Linked DNA regions of Drosophila melanogaster. The protein of the gene in region 4 interacts with the protein of the main gene of each other region in a pairwise test. Each region holds a gene or a part of one and is shown on either strand. Other genes may lie near its edges.

Region 1 (4,259 bases), on a different chromosome or scaffold from region 4:
AAATGGTAGGTAGGCAGTCGGTGCGCGGCAAGCGCAATAAGCCAGCCTAGCCACTTTGGGTTGAAAAATCTAATAACTGGTAAATCACCTTGCAAAATGTTGTTCATTTCACAGCGCTATAAACACGCATCGAGCCTCGTCCTTGGGCGGCCGACCTCCCCTTGTCGACTTAAACACTTACAACGACTTAACCACCTTTTGTTATTTTGCCTGCGTAGCCCTGTCTGTCACTTTAATCTGCCTGCCACACGCAGAAGAGCCAGCAAGGAGGCGAAAATCCAACGAAGGACACTCACATGGTTGAAGTTTGCATGCCTGGCGAGGCTTGCAAAGTTATTAACACGCGGCTCCGACTTAAATAAGTCATATTCCAGCCGCCTTTCGGGCTCAGCTCACTGCCTCCTTGACTGACTTCTTGTCTGGCTTGCAAAGGAGGTGAGGAGGACATTAATGGGGTTTTCCTATTAATTGCACGACTGGCCTGAAAGTGAAAGCACTGAGCAAGAAAAGTTGGCCAAAGACCGATCCAACGTCTGTGGCAAAAGTGGTTCGTTTAAGTTTAGGGCAATAATGGTAGAAATTTTCACAAATCATGTGGGAACACAATGACACGAAAAATGTATTAATTTTAAGTTAAGAATTTACTCAGCTTGGAATTGAAATCGATTTGATAATTGACAGGTATGTGATAGTCAAGCCGTTTATTTCACTACTTCCCTAGCACACCATGTAATCAATGAGATTGTACAATCTTTCCATTAACGTTCCAAAAATTTCTTACAAAATTATGCGTTTCGAGTAAATGTACCTTAGGGTACCGATTTCGATTTCTATCAATAAAAGTTTTGTGAAATACATCTACCGCTAATGGAAATTCATGTTTCGAGGACGGCCATCTGCGTTGGCTGTCGATGAAGGCAAATCCTGTTGCAAATGTCGCTACATTCGTGCGACTTGTTTGTAAATTATAAAATAATGCCGGTTGCATTTCCAACGACGTCTGCTGCTTCTGATTTTCCACTTTTCCGCTTTTGTTTTTCGGATGTGGTCATAGGCTGAGGGGGCGTGGTGGGAGGGCCTGCACGGCAATTTTTATGCCAAAGTGGCACATATTTGGCTTAGCTTTTAAACATCGCGACTAGAAATCATACCTGAGCACCAGTGGCAGTGGCAGCATATACTTTTTTGGGGGCAGCTAGTTTTTCGGCTGATATATAAAAAAGGTTAGTGGAGTTGAAACCCAACTGAAATAGGGCCCCCTTAATCCCCCCCAAGATCAGCCTCTGGCTTTGAGCAGCCGATGTGATGTAGCAGTGAGGCAGTGTGGCATGTCTGCCACGGCAGCGTACTCGACTGTCGGCGCTGTCAAATAACTGACATTACCTTGCCGCCACAGCTGCACCACCGCACCACCTCCACCCGGCTTGTAGAGCCGGTGAGCCACTGCACCACCGCAGACGACGCCGTGTTGTCGTCATCGCTCCAGAGCCGCGCACTTTCGTGACTATGAACAATAAAAATTTCGATTAGAATGTAAGAGCAACAACCGTTCGCGGCAACTTCAGCTGCTGCAATCAAGTTGTGCGCGGCCCGATCGGCAATCCGTGGACCCGGGCTTGAGTGGGGGAGCTGTGTGCCACAGACGTAGAATTATAATAGGAAAAAAGAGCTAAATTGCATATTAATAGAAATTGAAACCTAAATGTTATGCAGCGCAAAGCGTGCGGTAGACAACCATTTCATTACATTGTCCTGAGCTGAGAAGGGTGGCAGCCGTCGAAAGGGTGGTGCAAGGATATGTAGGACATACCCATGCAATCAAGGGTATGTCGTATTCATTCACATTTAAACGAAAAGGGGAAAATGAACCTAAGACTATTCATCTCATTTGAGTTTTATGTCAAGAAACGAAAAAGTTTATTGTTCGCTATTCCAACACACAAACTTAAACACTTTTCATAGACTTCAAAGTTTATCGGTTCTGAAGCCAGCAAGGTGTTCCATAAATCGTCCCTGACGACGTATTGAATTTGAATATTGGCTACACAAGAAGGTAGGTTCATCTGCCCCATAAAGATTACTATCTGTACTCAGAAGAGGAATCCTAGGAAAGAAGAGCACTGCAAAATGGCATTTCTGGGCAAAGTCAACAGTCAGGGAACCCTTATCGACCATGAACTATTCTGCATGACCCAGCCCAGCCAGCAGGATTCAGATGGCCAAGCCAGAGAGATGGGGGCTCGTGTACTGCTACCGCGAAGAAAGGGTTCCAGGACTTTCATCAAGACCTGTGACAAGGACAGCCTCGTGCGCTCTATGGGTAGCCCCAGCACAGTGCGCTACGTGGGCAGCTCCGAGTCGTCCAGTGAAGTCAACTCATTGGACGAGACGGAGACCTCCACTCTGCGCTGCTGCTCGGATTTGTCCCTGGGCACCCTGAAGTCGACCAAGACAATTGAGGGGCCCCGCGTCGGTGAACTGGGAGAGGATATCGAGCTGCAGACGGAGTCGGAGACGGTCTGCCTGCATCTGGGCAGTCCCAGCAGTAGCACCAGCACGGACCGGAGTAGCTGCAGCAGCCGATCCTGCCCCTCTTCCCGCAGCGGCAACAATTCCAGCGACAAGGACTCGACGACCTCGATGTGCAGCTGGGAGGAGGCCATGTCCCGGGACGACAGCATGCTGGCCCCGCTCGAGTTGCCACTAAGCCACAGCCTGCCCTCGCTGCGCCTGGGATCGAGCGTAGGATCGCCGCCCCTTACCTACACCCGCCGCATCGAACCGCTCCATATCCGGCGGTCCGCCGGTGAGGCCTACGAGAACTGGCTGTCCGGCAAGCAACGCCAGTGCCAGTACAAGTTGCAGGCGCAGCAGGCCGAGAGAGAGGCGCAGCGGCAGCGAACGGAGCTGAGGCAGCGGCTCGCCAAGGAGAAGTACGAGCAGTGGTGTCAGCAGAAGGCGCAGCAGACCACCAGTACCGCCAAGCTCACCAAGCCCGACCGTTCTGCCCAGCTGCCGCCGCAAAAGAATATGGCGTCTGTGCAACATCACCTGCAGGAGTGGGAGCTGCACAAGCTTAGGCTGCTCGAACAGCGTCGCCTCGAGCAGCGGAATGCCGAGCGGCGGCGCCAGGAGGAGAAGGCCGCCCGCCGCTCGCAGGCGGAAGAGGCCTTCAGTCGGTGGATGAGCAACGTGGCCCAGAGGCCCAAGCCCGTCCCCTCCAGCCAGGGAATGAAGTCGCTGCGCGGCACCGTTTCCGACATCTTTATAAACCCCAAGCAGTGGGTGAATTAAGCTGGTCGGATTTGAAATGGTCGGAGGTGGGGAGAAGTGTATGGCCTGGACAGGCTGCCTAAAAGGTGAGAGTTAGCTCGCCCTGTGAAACCAAAGTTTTAACAAGTGTAACCATATTTATTTATTTAGCACTATTAAATACCCGAAAAGAATGTTTCTTGGTTTAGTTTTCTAAAGTCATAGTAAGCCTTAGATAATTGTAATTTTGATAAATTTCCATAAGTGAATATGTAGAACAGTTTGCACCTTAAAGATGATCAGTTTACTAGCTCTTAGCAGTTAGTGGCCACTTGCTCATTAGTGGGTCAAAAGCATTCAGTTTACCGCTACACAATCATACAAGGAGAGTCGGTGGTCCGTTAATGAGCTGCATTAAGCTGACCCCACAAAGGAGATGTTGCATGCCCCCGACGGTACACATGCTCATCATCATTAGCAAATGCTATAAATCATATATATCCAATTTGACCGTCTAGGCGATATATGTCTATATTCAGTCTCAAAGTGTTCAAATGCATTTACAATGCAACAATTTATGTGAAATTTCCATAGTAAAGGCAAGAGGTAGAGAGATATAGTTACATCGACTATAAGATATCCATTACTTGCATCGCTTTGCTCAAGATTGCAAAGATGATTGAATATGTCTGTATATTTAATGAAATAACATTTTATACACTACTGCTATATATTTCTCAAATTTTCACTCACAACAATGTGAGCACATGATACACTTTTTGTCTCAATAGCAAACGAGTATATTTTTGTGGTGTTTTGCTCGTATTTCAAATATTAGTATAATGGAAAATGCCGGTAACGAAGCGCATTCATTATGCCAAATTATTTCGATTCCCAATCGAATTTCTCGACTTCGAGCGCACACAAAATGAATAATGGGTGCAAAAGCAGCAATAATGCCGCGCAAGAAAACAAAACCGCAGGCCTCAATTAATTTTTTCGCACAA
Region 2 (3,961 bases), on a different chromosome or scaffold from region 4:
AATGGGCGAGTCCATATTTGAATTTGCCGTTTAACAATAGCCCCAATGGCTTCCCTTCCGGTGAGTTCCCCCACTTTGCCCCATTTCCGCTGGGTTCCTTATTATGCGGATGACAATGCGTATTTTATGCCGCCTGTCGGCATTGATTATAAAGCTGAGTGCTGTTCGGTAACCTTTTATTTGTGCAGCAGTGTGGGATGAGGAAATCATCATCATTCCACATGACCCATTCAGGGGCTCTGTAAGCGCAATGTCTAATTGGACAGACCCTTGGATGAAGATGCTGAAGCGCTCTATGAACTGTAGCCCAACAGCTCTCAATATGAGTTCTACCAGGGGAACGTTTTATTGGAACAACAAGACATTACCTCACCACTCATTTTATGGAAAAAACCGCCGTTTTATAAGTTAAGATTAACATAACATCAAAGTCACTCGGTCACTCTTCAACCTTCGGATGGAAGCCGGTTGCATCTGCGGTGTAAGTCACGCGAATTTGCTTGCCATCTTCGCCGGGAAGGAAGTATTCGCCCTGGATGCCGTTCACATTGCCTTGAGCTTTCACTTGGATCCCATTGCTGACCGTGATCTCATGCTGGAACTGCCCAGCTCCATCCAGGTTCTGGCGGTTCTCCGACTTCAGAAGTTGCGCCTGCAGATCCTCCTCACTGCAGCTGGCCAAAACGACGAAAAGGGCAAAGATAAGGCTCTGAAATTGAGAGGTGGCTGATTATCCAATAGTCTGTTTGAAATCCGATTAAACTCACATATTTCAGCATTTTGGAGCAGCTTCTTGAAATGAAACAATGCCCGTCGGCCTTTTATACTATACTCCGAAGCTGCCTAGCCCACTAAACGGGTTTCAATCGCATCTGCTAATGAAATGACTGAGATTAACCAGACAGCCATGAATATGAAATTTGCGGCTACTCAATCGAGTCTGCTTCTGGCACCAGAAGCAGGCCAGCCTCCCCCAACTAATTGATTGCGATTTTGTTAACCCATTTTGCTACTAAAAGAACATTTAATCATCAACAATGAATTTGAAAACTATGCGCCCGCGGCCTTCGGAAGGATTTCTTGTGCAGGCTTGGAATCCCAGTCTCTATACCTAATTTCTGGATTGCTCAGAATCTTGGCCACACCCTTCAGAAAGCTTGGCTTACTGATAGTGGTTTTTCTCACAGAATCGTTGCTTTTCTTTTCCAAGGCATGCGGTATAAGTGAGGAAAAATTTAGAGATGCCTCGTTAGTAAGTGTCCCATCTGAGGATTCAATTGGCAAGAGAGACATCCCCTTATTTCGCTTGTTGTTGAACTTCTCGAGATATTTCTTGGCACCCAAACGGGCGGATGTCTTTAAAGCATTCATATCCCAGGACACTCCCAGCTTGGATTTGATCTCCTCGGAGGCAGTCTTGTCGTTCGAAGAGAACAGCGTTTGGAACATCTTCTTCAGCTCGAGGTCCTTGGGATCTTGTAGCGATCGGACTGCCCGCGGATCAATCTGCCCAATGGAATTGTCTTGGCTTTTGGTTTCCGCCTCCCGCTTGGAATCCTTGTTCAGCTCAACTAAGTCGTTTAACGACAATTTGGGGTCCAAGTTCCCTTGCAGCTGCTGGAAATCCATTTCGGGCGCATCCTTCGGCAGGTAGCCGCGGCTTTTCAGGTAAACTAGCGGCGACTGCCAGTTGTCGATGAGGTTCTTAACAATGGTGTCAACCGAATTCTCATACTTAACTACTTTTAAATTGCGATCAGCTGCAGCACTATAAAATAGACAGATGTATAAGATTAAAGAAATCATTTTAATTTAAATTGTGAGCCTGTTATCGATGACTTTGTGAAACGGCTACACTATCGATATAAATTGTTATTGACAGCTACGTCTCAGCAGCCCTGGATCTAAATCAGCTGTTGTGTTGTAAGCAAACGTAAAATTAACAAAATCCTACAATTATTTTGTTTTTTATTGAATTTCATAGCCTTTCAGGTTTTTGGTTGATCGCACAGGACTGCAACGCTATTATGGTCATCACCAACAACACAACACTGCCCGAGGAGTCGGAGCTGAACGTCCAGGAGCTAAATCTATCGTCGGCGGCCTTACGGGCAGGCGCCTTCCATTTGGGCAAGCAATGCGAGCAGGCCAATAATGTTAGTACATCCAGATTGCAGGGGAATCCTCCTGATAGTAATGCTTAGGTGAAAAGCGCCTTAAAGTGAAGCTGGGAGCCGCTGCCTCTTTAAAATCCGAGCGGCTTAGTTATATAACCTAACCTCAAAAAGCACCTTCCCCGTTTGTTTACCTTTTCCTTCGTGTAATTTCAGGAGTTTATGCTGTGCCGGCAGGAGCTGGATGACCCGCGAGCCTGTTTGGCGGAGGGCAAAGCCGTGACCAGCTGCGCCCTGGACTTCTTCCGCAAGGTGAAGAAGACCTGCCATGAGGAGTTCACGCAGTACGCCACCTGCCTGGATAAGAGCAGCGGTACTATGGCTTTTTCACAGTAAGCACTCCGTAAATGTTGAATATTCCAATCATGCTATACCAATGTCCATCCATACTTTAGTTGCCGCAAGACCCAGGGAGTGTTCGACAAGTGTATCAAAGATAACTTCGACTGGGATCGTCCCTCCTATGGATACTTCTCGAGGGCCAAGGTAATTTCTCGGCATGCTTTATTTAGACCTCTCCTAATCACTTCTGTTTTCAGGTCATCCAATCAGCTCGGGAAGCACCCAAGAAGGAGGAGAAGGTCTCCTATCCCGATGCCACCCCCGGTTTGCCCGAGGATTACCCCAAGCCGCCAGCAAAGTACGGTTCCCGCTTCCACTGGCTGGAGTAGACAGCTGCCAGCGCCTAGTGAAATTTGAAAGCGTTCATCTTAATATAAACTCTTGTTTCCATTAGTACTCGATATATTTATTTCATCGTATCTTTTTCCTCGACACAGTTTGCTTGATTTTGGCCATAATATCCAGGTACTGGTTGTTCAGGCAGCATCCGCAGTAGCTAACAGGGAAGCAGGCGCTGCCCTCGATACGGCGGAAAAGTGGCGTGTTCTGATAGAAGACCCACGAGATGTTTTCTTCGCCCAGCACCAGCATGATCTTGTCGAAGCGGACGCCCTGCACCTGAAACAGCTCCATGTCGCCGGTGATGATGCGCCACTCTGCGTAGCGTATGTTAGCATCTGGGGGCAGCTTGGAGCGCTCCCTCATCATCACATGCTCGAACCAATCGCGCACTTGGATAATCGATCCGGTGGGAGCGTGCTTTCTGATCTGGTAGCTGATGCGCGGGTACAGAGGATTTCTGCGACAGGAATGAATGAGTTTCTGGCGATCTCTTGGGTATTTATATTAATTGCTTACATGTAAGGAACAAAGGCCAGGCGCACCAGCACAAATTCAACTTTCTCTCGAGGAGCCATCTTGAAGATAATTTTATTTTTATGCGGACGACGCACTTCACAGGCACTGCTATGCAATACTAATGAACTTGGTCCACTGCTCAGACTATATATGCATAATACGCGACTTGCAGGCAGGTAGAATCATTGCTAAAGCAGATGTTCCGTTTCTAATCCCAAGAAAAAGTCCCAGTTTTCCCGTTAGTTACCTGTATCGATTTTCTCATTTACAGTTTTATTGCTAAAAAGATTTTTCTTATCCTAGAAGAGGGAGCGCTACTCCGTGTACCACTTGGTACGCTTAGGCTTCTTGATTTTACCTCCCGTAACGCCGCCACCTCCTTGGTTTCCACTAATCATGTTCTTGTACTTATTAATTAGGGGCCGAAGGTCATCCGTTTCCTTCTTGCGTCCTTGCTTGGGCCGATTATTTGCCTTGCGCTCTGCCAGGTGGGACTCGCGTATCTTCTTGTTCTTCTGCTTGCGCTTTTCGGTTTTCACCTTCTTCAAGTGTTCCTTGGCCTGCTCTACAATCTTCTTTTTGGATCG
Region 3 (5,168 bases), on a different chromosome or scaffold from region 4:
CTCTACTTTTCTTATATTTTTCTGGTGTCACTGAACTCTTCAAATTTTCATCGTTATACCCTTGCTAAGGGTATATTGCTTTCAGTCAGGAATTTGCAACGCAGTAAAGAAGACAATCTACAGCCTTTCGCTTTTGATCAGAAACGGACAACCTTATCATATCATATAAAATGTCTAGCAAATCAATGAAAAACTAATCCCAGCTTAGTTGTTTTTTAATCATAATGCGTTCTAATTCGGTACACACCAAATTTGTGATTTGACATTCGATTTTAATTTGTTCAAACTCTGCAAATAATTACTGCAAGGGTGTATAAGTTTCGGTTTTCCGAAACTAGCATATTTTTTTGTTTTTATTTAAAGTAGACGAAATAAATTGAAAAAAGAGAACAGAGAAACACGCGCAAAGCGACGACGTACGACTCAAAAAAAAAAACTAAATAAATAAATAAAAAAAAAAGACAAAACGCGAAACAGAAACAAAAAGCAAGAAAATAAATATTCAAATTCTACACATTGTGAAAATTTTATTGTCGAAATACAAATTGGACGGCGCAGCCTTACTTACATGCATGTATTTCCCGACTTCTCAGATTCTAGGCGCCACGCGAAAAACTAGAAAATCTATTTTCGAAACATTCACAACAGCGAGTGAATCGAGTCGCACCGCACTGAATATGTCACAATTACTCATGTGCTTCTAAAATGCCAAGCGATGTGCATACGAGTTTATACATACAACCCAAATAGACAGTACATCCTATTCCCATTCGATCCCGAGGGGGTTACGTTGCCACACATGGCCCGTTATCAGTGGCAGTTGGGCCTACAGACTTCACCACTCGCGCACCCAACATTATTATGCATTATTATGTATTCATGGACCGGGGGATCGTGTCGTTTTTCACATTTTACATTGCCCGCCAGGCGGACGTTGATAAAATTCTAATGGCCTGTAAGCCAGCTAGCCAGTTAGCCAGTTAGCCAGCTTGCCAGTTAGCCAGTAAGCCGTGATTTAGGCATGTTTCCATTCACGTTGTTGTCACGTCCCGAAACAAACGCTTTTCACACCTTGTTGAGCTCTGTAAATCGTAGTTATGTGCTGTTTCCACCCAGGTCGTGTGTAACTGCAATACCATTTCCTTAAACCGAACTTGAAAATGTTTATCGAAATTTGCATCTTAATTCGTCGTCTGCCTCGCACTAATGGGCAAAAAAAAGTTCGTACCCAATCCTGTCTGGAATATGGAATATCAGTGACATCCAGACAGGGGCGTCTTTGTTCTTTATCTCTATTAGATATCTTTTATGTTCTTATCTCCTGTGGGACATGTGCTCCCGATGCTGCAGAATCTTTCGCTTTCCCGAAAATTGTTGCTGCAGAGCTAGAGCAAGATAGTGGCAACCTGGCGGAAACACACGTCCGACATACATCAGCAGACCCTGTGTGACGCAAATGGATGGATTATGAGTCAGCTAAAGAAGTGGGAGCTGCAAACCCAAACCAAAAGGAATAGTTTGATGACCAGATTGCTTGATATATGAATGCACTTCGTGGAGGCGCTCTGGCGCATTTGGATCGAAGTGCTTCGAACACGTTGCCATCTTCAGTCTGTTTGAAGCTGTCGAACGGTGAGGTTGCCGAGAATCCTATCGTGGATCCAACTTGGGATCCAGATTCACATTTCCGCTGCCGCGTGCGCGGTGCTTCGTGGCCAGTGAGGCGTGTGAATTCAAATGCGGTGGTCAACGCTTTGGTTGTCGCTTTCTTTGTGTCGCCAGTGGTATTTAATCAAAATCGAATAGAGAGCCAGAGTGGCGGCAAAAGCAACAAAACAAAAAAAAAAATGAAATGAAATGAAATGAAACGAAATAAAACAATGCGGCATACAAAACGAGACGAGCACACCAAAATATCGGCAAATCAACCGAAATTATAAAAGAAAGGAAAGAACTCGACACATTGATGTGGAATCAATGCAATAAATTAACTTAAATTTGGTTTTCGCTTGGCCAGCCGATTTCGATAAAGTAGAAAAAAAAGAGAGAGAGAGACAGAGACGAATACAAACACAAATAAATGAAAAATCGTTAAAATCCCGGTCTGCGAATTCGATCAGCCCACGAAATTCGATGCGGCGGACTAGGCCTCCAAAAATATTTATACTTATGTAGAGCTCGGATTTAGGACCTACCTGTCTGCCCAGCAGCGGACCCTTGCTGATGAAGTCCTTCTTGGCCGAGTAGAGCTCCGGCGGTGGTCCTTTCAGCGAATACCGCAGGCCGGACTCCCCAAGGTCGTCCGTCGTCCCACGCAGACAGCGCTCAAGGGCACGCTCATCCTCGTCGTCATCGGAGGCGGTGGCTGAGCAGGCGGATGATACGCAAGAGGAGGAGCACGCGAAGGAGGTACGATCCCGAGCACCGGGAGATTCGCAGACAGTGGTACTATTCGTGCCAGTGCTGTGACCAGAAGTTGTGGACCGCAGTGTGGTGCTGGGATACGCGAAGGCGGGCAGGTCCGACAGCAGGCGATGGCACTCGACCTCCTGGCCGCCGGCGGGCGATTTAAGTGAACCGGCATCCGGCATGGACATGGCGATGACCAGATAAGATAGCGATCTCCAATCTCAGAAATCCGAAATCCCAAATGGCACGTGCAAAAATGCGCGCGAAAGAGCAACAAAATCCACAGTATGCGTATATACGGCTATACGTATATCTTGTAGATATATGTATCTTTACACTTATGTTGGCTCTATGGCTCTTTGGCTCTTTGGCTTTTTGCTTATTTTGTTAATTGAAATGCGACAGTCTCGTTCCGTTGCCGTGGGCACCGCACCCGCCAAAAAATGCGAAAATACGAACGAACAGAAAGGCAAAGACTACGGCTCGTGGGTATTAAAACGACTCACACTTATGGCTGCGATTAGCTAGATAAACTACTTAGTACTGGAGCCATTGTACGATCTCATGATGAATCTTTTTGCCGAATCACAGAATTTATTCGCAGTTGCGGTTGGGTTTTGGCCAATGTTAAGCTTGAACTTCACACATCGCGCCGAATGCATTCACTTTCGAGCTGCACCATTAACTTGGCCACCGTTGGCATTCTGAGTTGCTGGCTTTCTTTTCGCTTTCGGCCAGCGGCTATTTTTGCAAACTTTTCGGTGGCGAAGGTTGTCCCACAACTGAGCACCATGTCAGAGTTCACAAGAACACGCCGATCGTTTGGCATCGGCATCGCTATCGCCATCTGGCCGACATGGCTGGTCAGGATACGGAATACACTGGCGCACTGGGATGAATACGTATTCAAATTCGAATTAGAAATCGCAACTGGATTAATATTACAAATGGAACTTTAGCAATTGTCTGATACTACCGCGCGCGCGCAAATAAATGAAACGGACGAGAACGAGCCGATGGACCAGACCAATGCTGCGAACCAGAGAATTTGTATCTGTATCTGGCGATGTTTCGTTTCGGCTCGCTTGAGTTCCCGCTGCGGACTGAACACTGCTCGCCGAACAGCAGTTGGTAGCGGACGTTCCGCCGTACCGCCAAGCAATCTGAGATCGCGAACATATATCGCTCCGAAAGCTAAAAGCGGTTCTCTCGCAGCTATATGCTGTACAACATACATACATACATATGTACATATGTATGTACATACTCGTATGTAGGCACGAGTATAGGGATATGGGTTTGCTGAATGGGCTTAGGATTTCGATTCCGAAGGAGTGTTTTAGAGAGATTAGAAATACGTCAGAATCATATCAGTACGCAGAACAGCCGGCTTCTCTGCGCAGAGAGCGCTGTGGCGAAAAGAGAGCCGAGCGCGGCTTAAAAGAGCACTCGAACGCTCTCTTAAGTGCGCCTCTGCTTACTCAATATTTTTGCACATGTGAGGATTAAGTGTGTGGACATAATTATCATCGGATAAGATAAGGTGTGTTAGCATAGTAACAATCTTTGCATCTAGAGTATCTGCCTTTTCGGATGAAATAATATAAATATTAAAAAAAAAAAAAATAGGCTTATGCTGCATGCTTTATTCAGTAATAGTTTTTAAAAGTAATCAAAATTTGTAAACATGTTCACACTTGTGTGATACCAACCAATTTGAGTAAGTATGTACTTGAGTAAATAATAAAACTCTTTTTACTTATGACTTATTTTACTAGCCTATGCATTACTAATCGCACCGAGCAGTACTAAAAACTTTGAATACGAATTCTTTTGAAATAGAGGATAAGACCCTGGGCATTACCAGTGGTGCACTTCCGGAAGAAGTCATTTCGGAAGAAAAAAAGGAAGTTGATGATCACAGAGAATGGTACAATGATGACTAGCTCATCAGTATCAAAAAAAATTCTTTTTTTGACGTAAATAAACTGACACGACAGCCTTTACTCAGAAATGCGACAAATATAAAGATATATCTAAATAATCTACACAAGCTGAACAAACATATCGTAATAGTTTAGATAGGCAAGTGTAACTGATTTGTCTCAAATTGGTATCATTATAAACAATACTTTATACTTTATACTTTATATTGTCTCATTTGGGCATAGAGTGTGCGACATCTGCCGGATCCCAGCCCATCCAATGTGGGTCAAGATCAATCTACTGATCGCGTCAGTGAATAAAAATAGTAGCCATTCGCTCCATTATTTGAACGCCGAGAACTCTTCCACATAAATGTCTTCTGTGCCAAATTACCATATGTAGCAATTGACCCTATTGTATACTAAATATTTTCTTTAATCAAACGCAGCAATAAGAATTAATCAATTAAAAGACCAGAGCTCGTTTGCCAAATTAAAGTATAGTTGGAAATTAAAAATCCATTTCGCCGCCGTGGAGGTCGGCGAAAATTTAAAAATATTCCAAAATACGATGATGCATATTCATATACTACGGATGTTGCGAGAATGGTGGACTAATGAAAAACATCTCAAAAGATTCCAGGAAGAGCGTTCTCCATGCAACCATGCAATCGGCAACAAAACGCTTGTTTTGTAATCAACAACAAACAGCCGGCATCCAAATGATGCCAACATAAAACAGCAGCCATAACAGAACATCTTACAAAATAGCCCTAAAAGTCTGGAGGGGGCAAGTGAGTTCCCCAAGAAGGCTGTTTGTATTACACCGAACTA
Region 4 (6,573 bases):
GTCCATAGAACACAAATGTTGATGTATATCAACGTACCTCAACCGTTCTGTAGTAGGGATCCAAACATAATTGCGCCGTGGCCACGATCTGTGGAGTGCGATCCCAACCGTCTGAGCAATGTACAAGGACGGGTCGTCCATTCTTCTCGATGGTGTGCACAACGGTCATGGTGGCTCCCAGCAGACCCGACAGGTGCTGCATCCACATGGTCTTTTCCAGTTGTCCGTACCAGCTGCAAGAATATGATTCCATTACATAAATATATATATATCTTTAATAATCAGCTAGTAAACTTACTTTGGATCATCGGGGGATGACGCGCATAGCTGTCGGACAGCGTGGAAACTCTTTCGAATGGCGTGGATGTTGCCCAAGTTCATAAACTCAATCTCTGCACAGGGATAGTACTCGATGCACTCACAGCCGCCACCTCTGGCACGATTTGTAACTGCGGAGGTGTAGCTGCGAGCATCCACAATGAGGATTTTCTGAAAGCAAATACAATTTAAGAGCAATGATCAAATTATTTCATTAGCACTTGGCGGTTTTGACATCATTTTACTGCTCCGTGTTAAGTAATTTATGATAATTATTCATGAATGTTTTCTTATATGGTAACTGAAACCTTCATTTCAAGAATACCCGGCTATTTTGGTAATAAACTTACCTTGATTTCATCCAGCGTGAGTTCCTCATGCGAGGAATCGTCCAGAGATGGTGAACTCTTGCCGGATAAGCCCGACTGGCCGTTGGTCTCCTTGGAGCCCTTTGTTGGTTGCGCCTTTGCATTGGCGCAGGTGGAATGCCTGGCGTGCTCGCCCCTGTCAAAGGCACAGGCATCGGCGAGTGCCTTGAGTAGCTGCTCGTCCCTTGTGTTGCGCCAGCCGAGCCAACCGACCTCCGGCTGGCTGCATCGGGCCAAGATGGCACCCGACTTTTGGTGCCGCCAGACGACAGCCGGCAGCCTTCGTGATCCCCGGAAGTTGGCCACGTTGTGGAGCATCTCATCGGTGATACAGCAGGGCACAAGCAATTTGGGTGGATACGAGGGACAGAGCTTAAAATCGGCATTGGCCGTGGAGATGCGCCACGAGCCCTTCAGATCGAATCCCAAGCGGGCAACCTCGTTCTTAAAGTCGCTTTCATAGCGCACTGATCGTTGCAGGCGATTGCTCATGGCGGCTGAGATGGTCTCGCTGGCAGGATCGGGCAGAGGATTCGACGCTGTGACGTTGGCTGTTGGCTTTGCCAAGCCATTGTGTAGCGTTAGGCAACGATCCTTGGCAATCAGGCCGTTTCCGTTGGCCTGGGCGCTAACGATACCGCTTCCATTGCCACTTCCGAGCACATCGCAGGTCCAGGAGTAGAAGGGAAAGGCGAAGAGTGTCTCCAGTGACTCGGGAACCCCGATCATCAGATGGATCCGGCGCTGCCAGTCGGAGCACTGTTCCGCCGACGGAAAGGAGCAGCGCACAGTGCTGGCATCCTTACAATTGACAATCAGCTGGAACAGATCTCGCACCTGTACGGATTCGATTAATCCCAATGGAACGTAGGTCTCGTAGCCGGTTGACTGCTTGGAAAGGAATATCCGATAATTGGACAGGGCGAGGATACCATCATCCGTGCGCCCCAGGTACTTAATCGATTCGCCGGCCACTAGTGGTATATATACTATAGATTAGCATGTGTTATCGGTTACAGCATATGGGGGAACACCTACACTCTTGAAACGGGACGAACAGCTGGGAGTCTTCCTTCTCCATTTGTGACTTTGGATACGATTCGGCGGCACGGATAAAGCAAATCGATGGAGGCGGTGATCCATCGGACATTGTGTGAATCGGCTAAAAGAATACTTAACATGTAACGTATTCGAAATTACTTATTTGCTTATATTTAGGCAAGGCGATTTGGGTGTCATTGGAAATCCGGTTATCGCTTATAAGTGCATATATCTCTTATATCCACCATCCGAATACATAATTACGCACAACAGTGTGTGTGCGATGTTATTGGGACGATTCGATACGTATAGTATAGTGGCTCCCATAAATAAATAAATAATACTATGCACATATGTGCATGTGCATTAAGCAGTGCACAAACAAAGCCAAATAAATGTCACTGGGATGATAAATTGGGCACAATCAACACTTTTAGAACAAATCGAAGTTAATATTTGAGTTTTTGAGTGTCGTGGTGGCAATATAGATAATGCACTGCATATATATGCACGTATGGATGTACAATGTACAATGAACATACATTTATGTGAGCACACACAGTTGCAGTTCCACAAGGTGCGCAATATATAGTATGCACATATTTGTGTGTCGCTGCATTACATACGCACGCACATATATACCAATAGACTAGATTATCACGATTTCATAGCCAATAGGCGAAAAATGGCCGATTATCGTACTCAACGTATTCTAATGGCCGTGTATGTTGTCATAAACAAAGTAATTAAACATTTACGCATGTGTATGTTTGCATAAACTCATATGTATATTTGTCTATGTAGGTATGTTTGTGTTTCGATATTTCGGGGAGCAACAATAACACATTACAATCGTACATATGTATGCACACACATTTGGTTTTTGGATTCCACAAACCGTTCGCTCAGCAGACTTTTCGGGGTATTTAGCTCAAAACGTATTGCCGAATTGAAAACGCGCTTGGCTTCTAGATTTTCTCGCTCTATTTACCACCATAAAATCCATAAGCGTCAGCTATTATAAACAAAGATTTGCAAATGTTGTTGCACATACATATGTATGCATATGTATTCATTTAGACACTTTTTGTTTCATTTCCATTGAAATTGCTATCGTTGTTTGCTGCTATCGCTGTTATCGCTGCTGTTAGCGATGGCCAAGTCATGTGACTAAGCTATCGTTACTCGATTGCCGATGAGATGTGCATTCGAGACTAACCAACACTGGCCAGCCGATAAAATCAACCAAAAATTTGTAAAACTTAATAATTGTGCGTACGTTTGCATTCCATTCCAGCTGATGTGTAACTGAAATCAGAAAAAAAGAGAACCGATCGCTTGGACTCTCCGCCGGTGCACGCAATTCTACGCCCACTCCTCGCCAGCCGCATTCGCCATTCGGAAGCCGAACAAGAATGTTTGGAGCCAGAATCGGAATCGGAAAGCTTGGGCCGTGTGTGGCCCTAGTTGCGGTGAGTCGACGTGTTCCGTTCTGTCTGGTCATGTTGCTGGTCACTGGAGTGGCTCACCCGCTCGATCAGCGGGCGGGGAAACAGTGGGGAGGGGCCGGCCAGACAGCCCCGGCTTTTTTTTGGCTCCCCCTAACCAAATAACTAACTAACCAGAACTGACATCCTATGGAATTTACAGATTCTACAGCTACTCCAGTACACACAGCCGGCCGATGCCGCCGGAGCCGTGCCCATGACCAGTGATAATATCGATATGACCCTAGGTGAGATATGCCCATACCATAACCATCACAGTCATCCCCATGCCATTCCCGCTGCCAGCGTGAGCGGGAATCAATTAGCCGACTTGTCCCATTGACGTGTCACTAAACAAAATCACTGGCTCGCTCAATTCGGCACTGCCAACGTGGTAAAATAAGTTTTATGCGCTTTCGTAAAGGACAAGGTGTGGAATTTGGATAAAACTTAATTAGGGCGGTTTATATTTCATGCTGCATCGGTCCGATAGTCCGCCAAAATGGGCACTAGCCATTGGTCGGCAGTTCTTTGCTCAGAATGTCCGAAGTTTGGTCTTTGCATGAATAGGTCCTTTTTATACGGTGTGTCCTGTACACAATCCTGCGGTAATACTATATTGTTTTTTTAAAGTTATTTTTTTTTATTATCCAAACGTTAACTTTTACAGTAAAGCCTGGCCTTAGGCTTGCACCCCTTAAATTTTAACTTTCGGAAGTTATGGAATAGTAGGATGCTAGAAATTTCTTGACTTTAATATGTATATTCAGCGACAAATTTAAATATATTCCATAAAAATACATATGCATTTAAATTATTAATACATAAACCCGTAATTCAATATTGATATAAATATATTACCAAATATATGTTTTTAAAAGTTATTATATTTAGTATCTGAACGGAGTTGTATTCTACGCATCAACAATTTTACACACAATTTGGTGCCTACATTAAAAACACGTTTTGTTTTCTTGCAGCGTCTAATGAATTGGTTTTCCTTAATTTTTATGCGGAGTGGTGTCGGTTTAGTAATATTTTAGCACCTATATTCGCGGAAGCTGCAGATAAGGTGAGTCAAATGGATCGCCAGTAAAAGCTTACAAACAATGCGATACATTCATATACATTTTATATCGAATAAATACGTGGCATTCAATCGAATTTCTCTTACAGATTAAAGAGGAGTTTCCAGAGGCTGGAAAAGTGGTGCTAGGCAAGGTCGATTGCGACAAGGAAACGGCCATCGCGTCCCGTTTCCACATAAACAAGTATCCAACATTGAAAATTGTACGCAATGGGCAGCTCAGCAAGCGCGAATACCGAGGACAGCGTTCAGCCGAAGCGTTCCTCGAGTTCGTCAAGAAGCAGCTGGAGGATCCCATTCAGGAGTTCAAATCCCTGAAGGATCTGGAGAACCTGGACTCGAAGAAGCGCCTCATTCTGGGCTACTTCGATCGTAGGGACCAGCCAGAGTACGACATATTCCGCAAGGTGGCGACAAATCTGAAGGAAGACTGCCAGTTCCACGTGGGCTTCGGAGATGCCGCCCAGGCCATGCATCCACCAGGTGAATTCTATCAAACGCACCAAGTCATGCCAAGCCAATACTGAATGTCAGCTTTTTTGGTCTATTACAGGTACACCTATCATAGTATTTAGACCTGATGTAGCTCTGTCTCATGAGAACGATGAGACCTACACTGGCAGCCTACAAAATTTCGATGAGCTCAAAATTTGGGTCCAAGAGAAGTGTGTACCCCTGGTGCGGGAAATAACATTTGAGAATGCAGAGGAACTTACGGAGGAGGGTCTGCCGTTCCTAATTCTCTTCCACCACCCAACCGATCATAATTCTATCAAGGATTACAAGTCGATCATTGAGCGTCAATTGCTGGATGAGAAACGTAAGATGAATCATCGTGTTGTTTACTTTGCATATAAGCATTTGGTTTGACATTGTATTTTCGAAATTTTGCAGAGAACGTCAACTTTTTGACCGCCGATGGCAAGCGATTCGCGCATCCTCTGCACCATCTGGGTAAATCCGAGGATGACTTGCCCTTGATTGCCATCGACTCGTTCAAGCACATGTATCTGTTCCCCCACTTCAGTGACATGTACTCGCCGGGTAAGCTGAAGCAGTTCCTTCAGGATCTCTACAGTGGCAAGCTGCACAGGTAATTGTTATACAGCCGCCTTTGCTAACACCATGGGGCTCAATTACTAAACGGTCTGCTGCTTTGCTTTCCAGGGAATTTCATTACGGGCCGGATCCCTCAAATGATATTGAACCTGACCCACACACTGGCAAGGGTACATCGCCACCAGAGTCCAAATTCAAGGAACTTGGCCCATCCAAGCATCGCTACACCCTGCTAGAAAAAGATGAACTGTAATATAATAATAATAATGTATATTGAAAATAAAAGAAAATAATACAAAAATGTAATAATGAGCAACCTTCTCTGAAAGCAGATCAGCAGGTGAGCGGTTATCCATGCAAATAGCGGGCGCAGCAGCCTCAATTCTCTTCAATGCAATTCTAAAAATAAAAAGTCTGGATTTAACCACCTTTGTTATTGCAAAAAGAAACAGTTGCTGAATTATCCACAAATTGCACGCGTCACTTTTCAAGTTTTCCTCGTTTTGTTGTTAAAAATTACGCTGGAGATTTCGGCGAGGCGAACTTATTGAATTCTTTGGAATCCCCTTCTTAGTCAGCTAAGCTGGAAATGAATGATGTCAACTTCCGAATTCAAAGCAGTGATTTTGATTTTCTCTATATATATATATATATACACATATATATGAGCTATATATGTATACATATATATATGTTTATTCGTATGTACCATGTTACAGTTACAGTTGTTAAATTAGATTACATAATTATATAATATAATTCAGTCAAAACGAGCGATAACCGTGTGTGTGTTGGGATAAAAATCGGTTCAAATGAAGTCGTGTGCTGGCAATTATCATTTAAAAGTTGCTCTGACTGTTAATTTTAAAAGTACATTTAAAAGCGTACTCTCGCTACAATTAATAAGTAAAAGTGAAAAAAATAGGTGCCGCGTTCGGCTGGCTACCATGCGCTTAATATGGTCTCGAGCGCATGCCTCCATCGTTTCTCATCGGTCCACCATCGCGGCGATTGCCGCCACCACCTCCACGGCCACCGCGTCCTCCGCCATTGTTGTCATTGAAGCGGGAGTAGCCACCACCACCGCCGCCGCCGCCTCCGCCTCCCTGCGAGTTGCCACCGCGATCTCTGTTGTGATATCCACCGCCGCCGGATCCACGATCATTTCCTCGGTCGTAGCCTCCTCCGCCACCACCGCCGCCGTAGCCGCCGC

Evidence for each region.
Region 1: the proteins of ERp44 (region 4) and CG14011 interact in a two-hybrid assay, tested with the Drosophila melanogaster proteins (one large-scale study listed by BioGRID).
Region 2: the proteins of ERp44 (region 4) and ND-19 interact in a two-hybrid assay, tested with the Drosophila melanogaster proteins (one large-scale study listed by BioGRID).
Region 3: the proteins of ERp44 (region 4) and AdamTS-A interact in a two-hybrid assay, tested with the Drosophila melanogaster proteins (one large-scale study listed by BioGRID).

Annotation. Positions count from the first base shown.
Region 1 is NT_033779.5:5,578,760-5,583,018, reverse strand, and holds CG14011 (uncharacterized protein), read left to right. Parts: upstream 1-1,902; 5' UTR 1,903-2,053; intron 2,054-2,108; exon of another isoform or gene 2,109-2,116; 5' UTR 2,117-2,127; coding exon 2,128-3,294; 3' UTR 3,295-3,439; downstream 3,440-4,259.
Region 2 is NT_033778.4:24,662,524-24,666,484, forward strand, and holds ND-19 (NADH dehydrogenase (ubiquinone) 19 kDa subunit), read left to right. Parts: upstream 1-1,874; 5' UTR 1,875-1,923; exon of another isoform or gene 1,924-1,933; intron 1,934-1,984; exon of another isoform or gene 1,985-1,992; 5' UTR 1,993-2,027; coding exon 2,028-2,156; intron 2,157-2,330; coding exon 2,331-2,506; intron 2,507-2,569; coding exon 2,570-2,660; intron 2,661-2,713; coding exon 2,714-2,845; 3' UTR 2,846-2,916; downstream 2,917-3,961. Other genes in the region: Cpr60D (cuticular protein 60D), read right to left, coding at 440-709, 768-779; CG30161 (uncharacterized protein), read right to left, coding at 1,051-1,806; CG34214 (uncharacterized protein), read right to left, coding at 2,928-3,315, 3,375-3,433; CG4806 (uncharacterized protein), read right to left, coding at 3,689-3,961.
Region 3 is NT_033777.3:15,472,692-15,477,859, forward strand, and holds the start of AdamTS-A (ADAM metallopeptidase with thrombospondin type 1 motif A), read right to left. Parts: upstream 3,503-5,168; 5' UTR 2,598-3,502; coding exon 2,196-2,597; intron 1-2,195.
Region 4 is NC_004354.4:16,292,936-16,299,508, reverse strand, and holds ERp44 (endoplasmic reticulum protein 44), read left to right. Parts: upstream 1-1,848; 5' UTR 1,849-1,867; intron 1,868-2,269; exon of another isoform or gene 2,270-2,426; intron 2,427-2,601; exon of another isoform or gene 2,602-2,718; coding exon of another isoform or gene 2,719-2,733; exon of another isoform or gene 2,734-2,838; intron 2,839-2,921; exon of another isoform or gene 2,922-3,024; 5' UTR 3,025-3,142; coding exon 3,143-3,199; intron 3,200-3,238; exon of another isoform or gene 3,239-3,377; coding exon 3,378-3,462; intron 3,463-4,194; coding exon 4,195-4,286; intron 4,287-4,390; coding exon 4,391-4,784; intron 4,785-4,854; coding exon 4,855-5,121; intron 5,122-5,195; coding exon 5,196-5,394; intron 5,395-5,468; coding exon 5,469-5,613; 3' UTR 5,614-5,656; downstream 5,657-6,573. Other genes in the region: CG3632 (uncharacterized protein), read right to left, coding at 38-233, 299-489, 669-1,660, 1,725-1,848, 2,719-2,733; caz (cabeza), read right to left, coding at 6,314-6,573.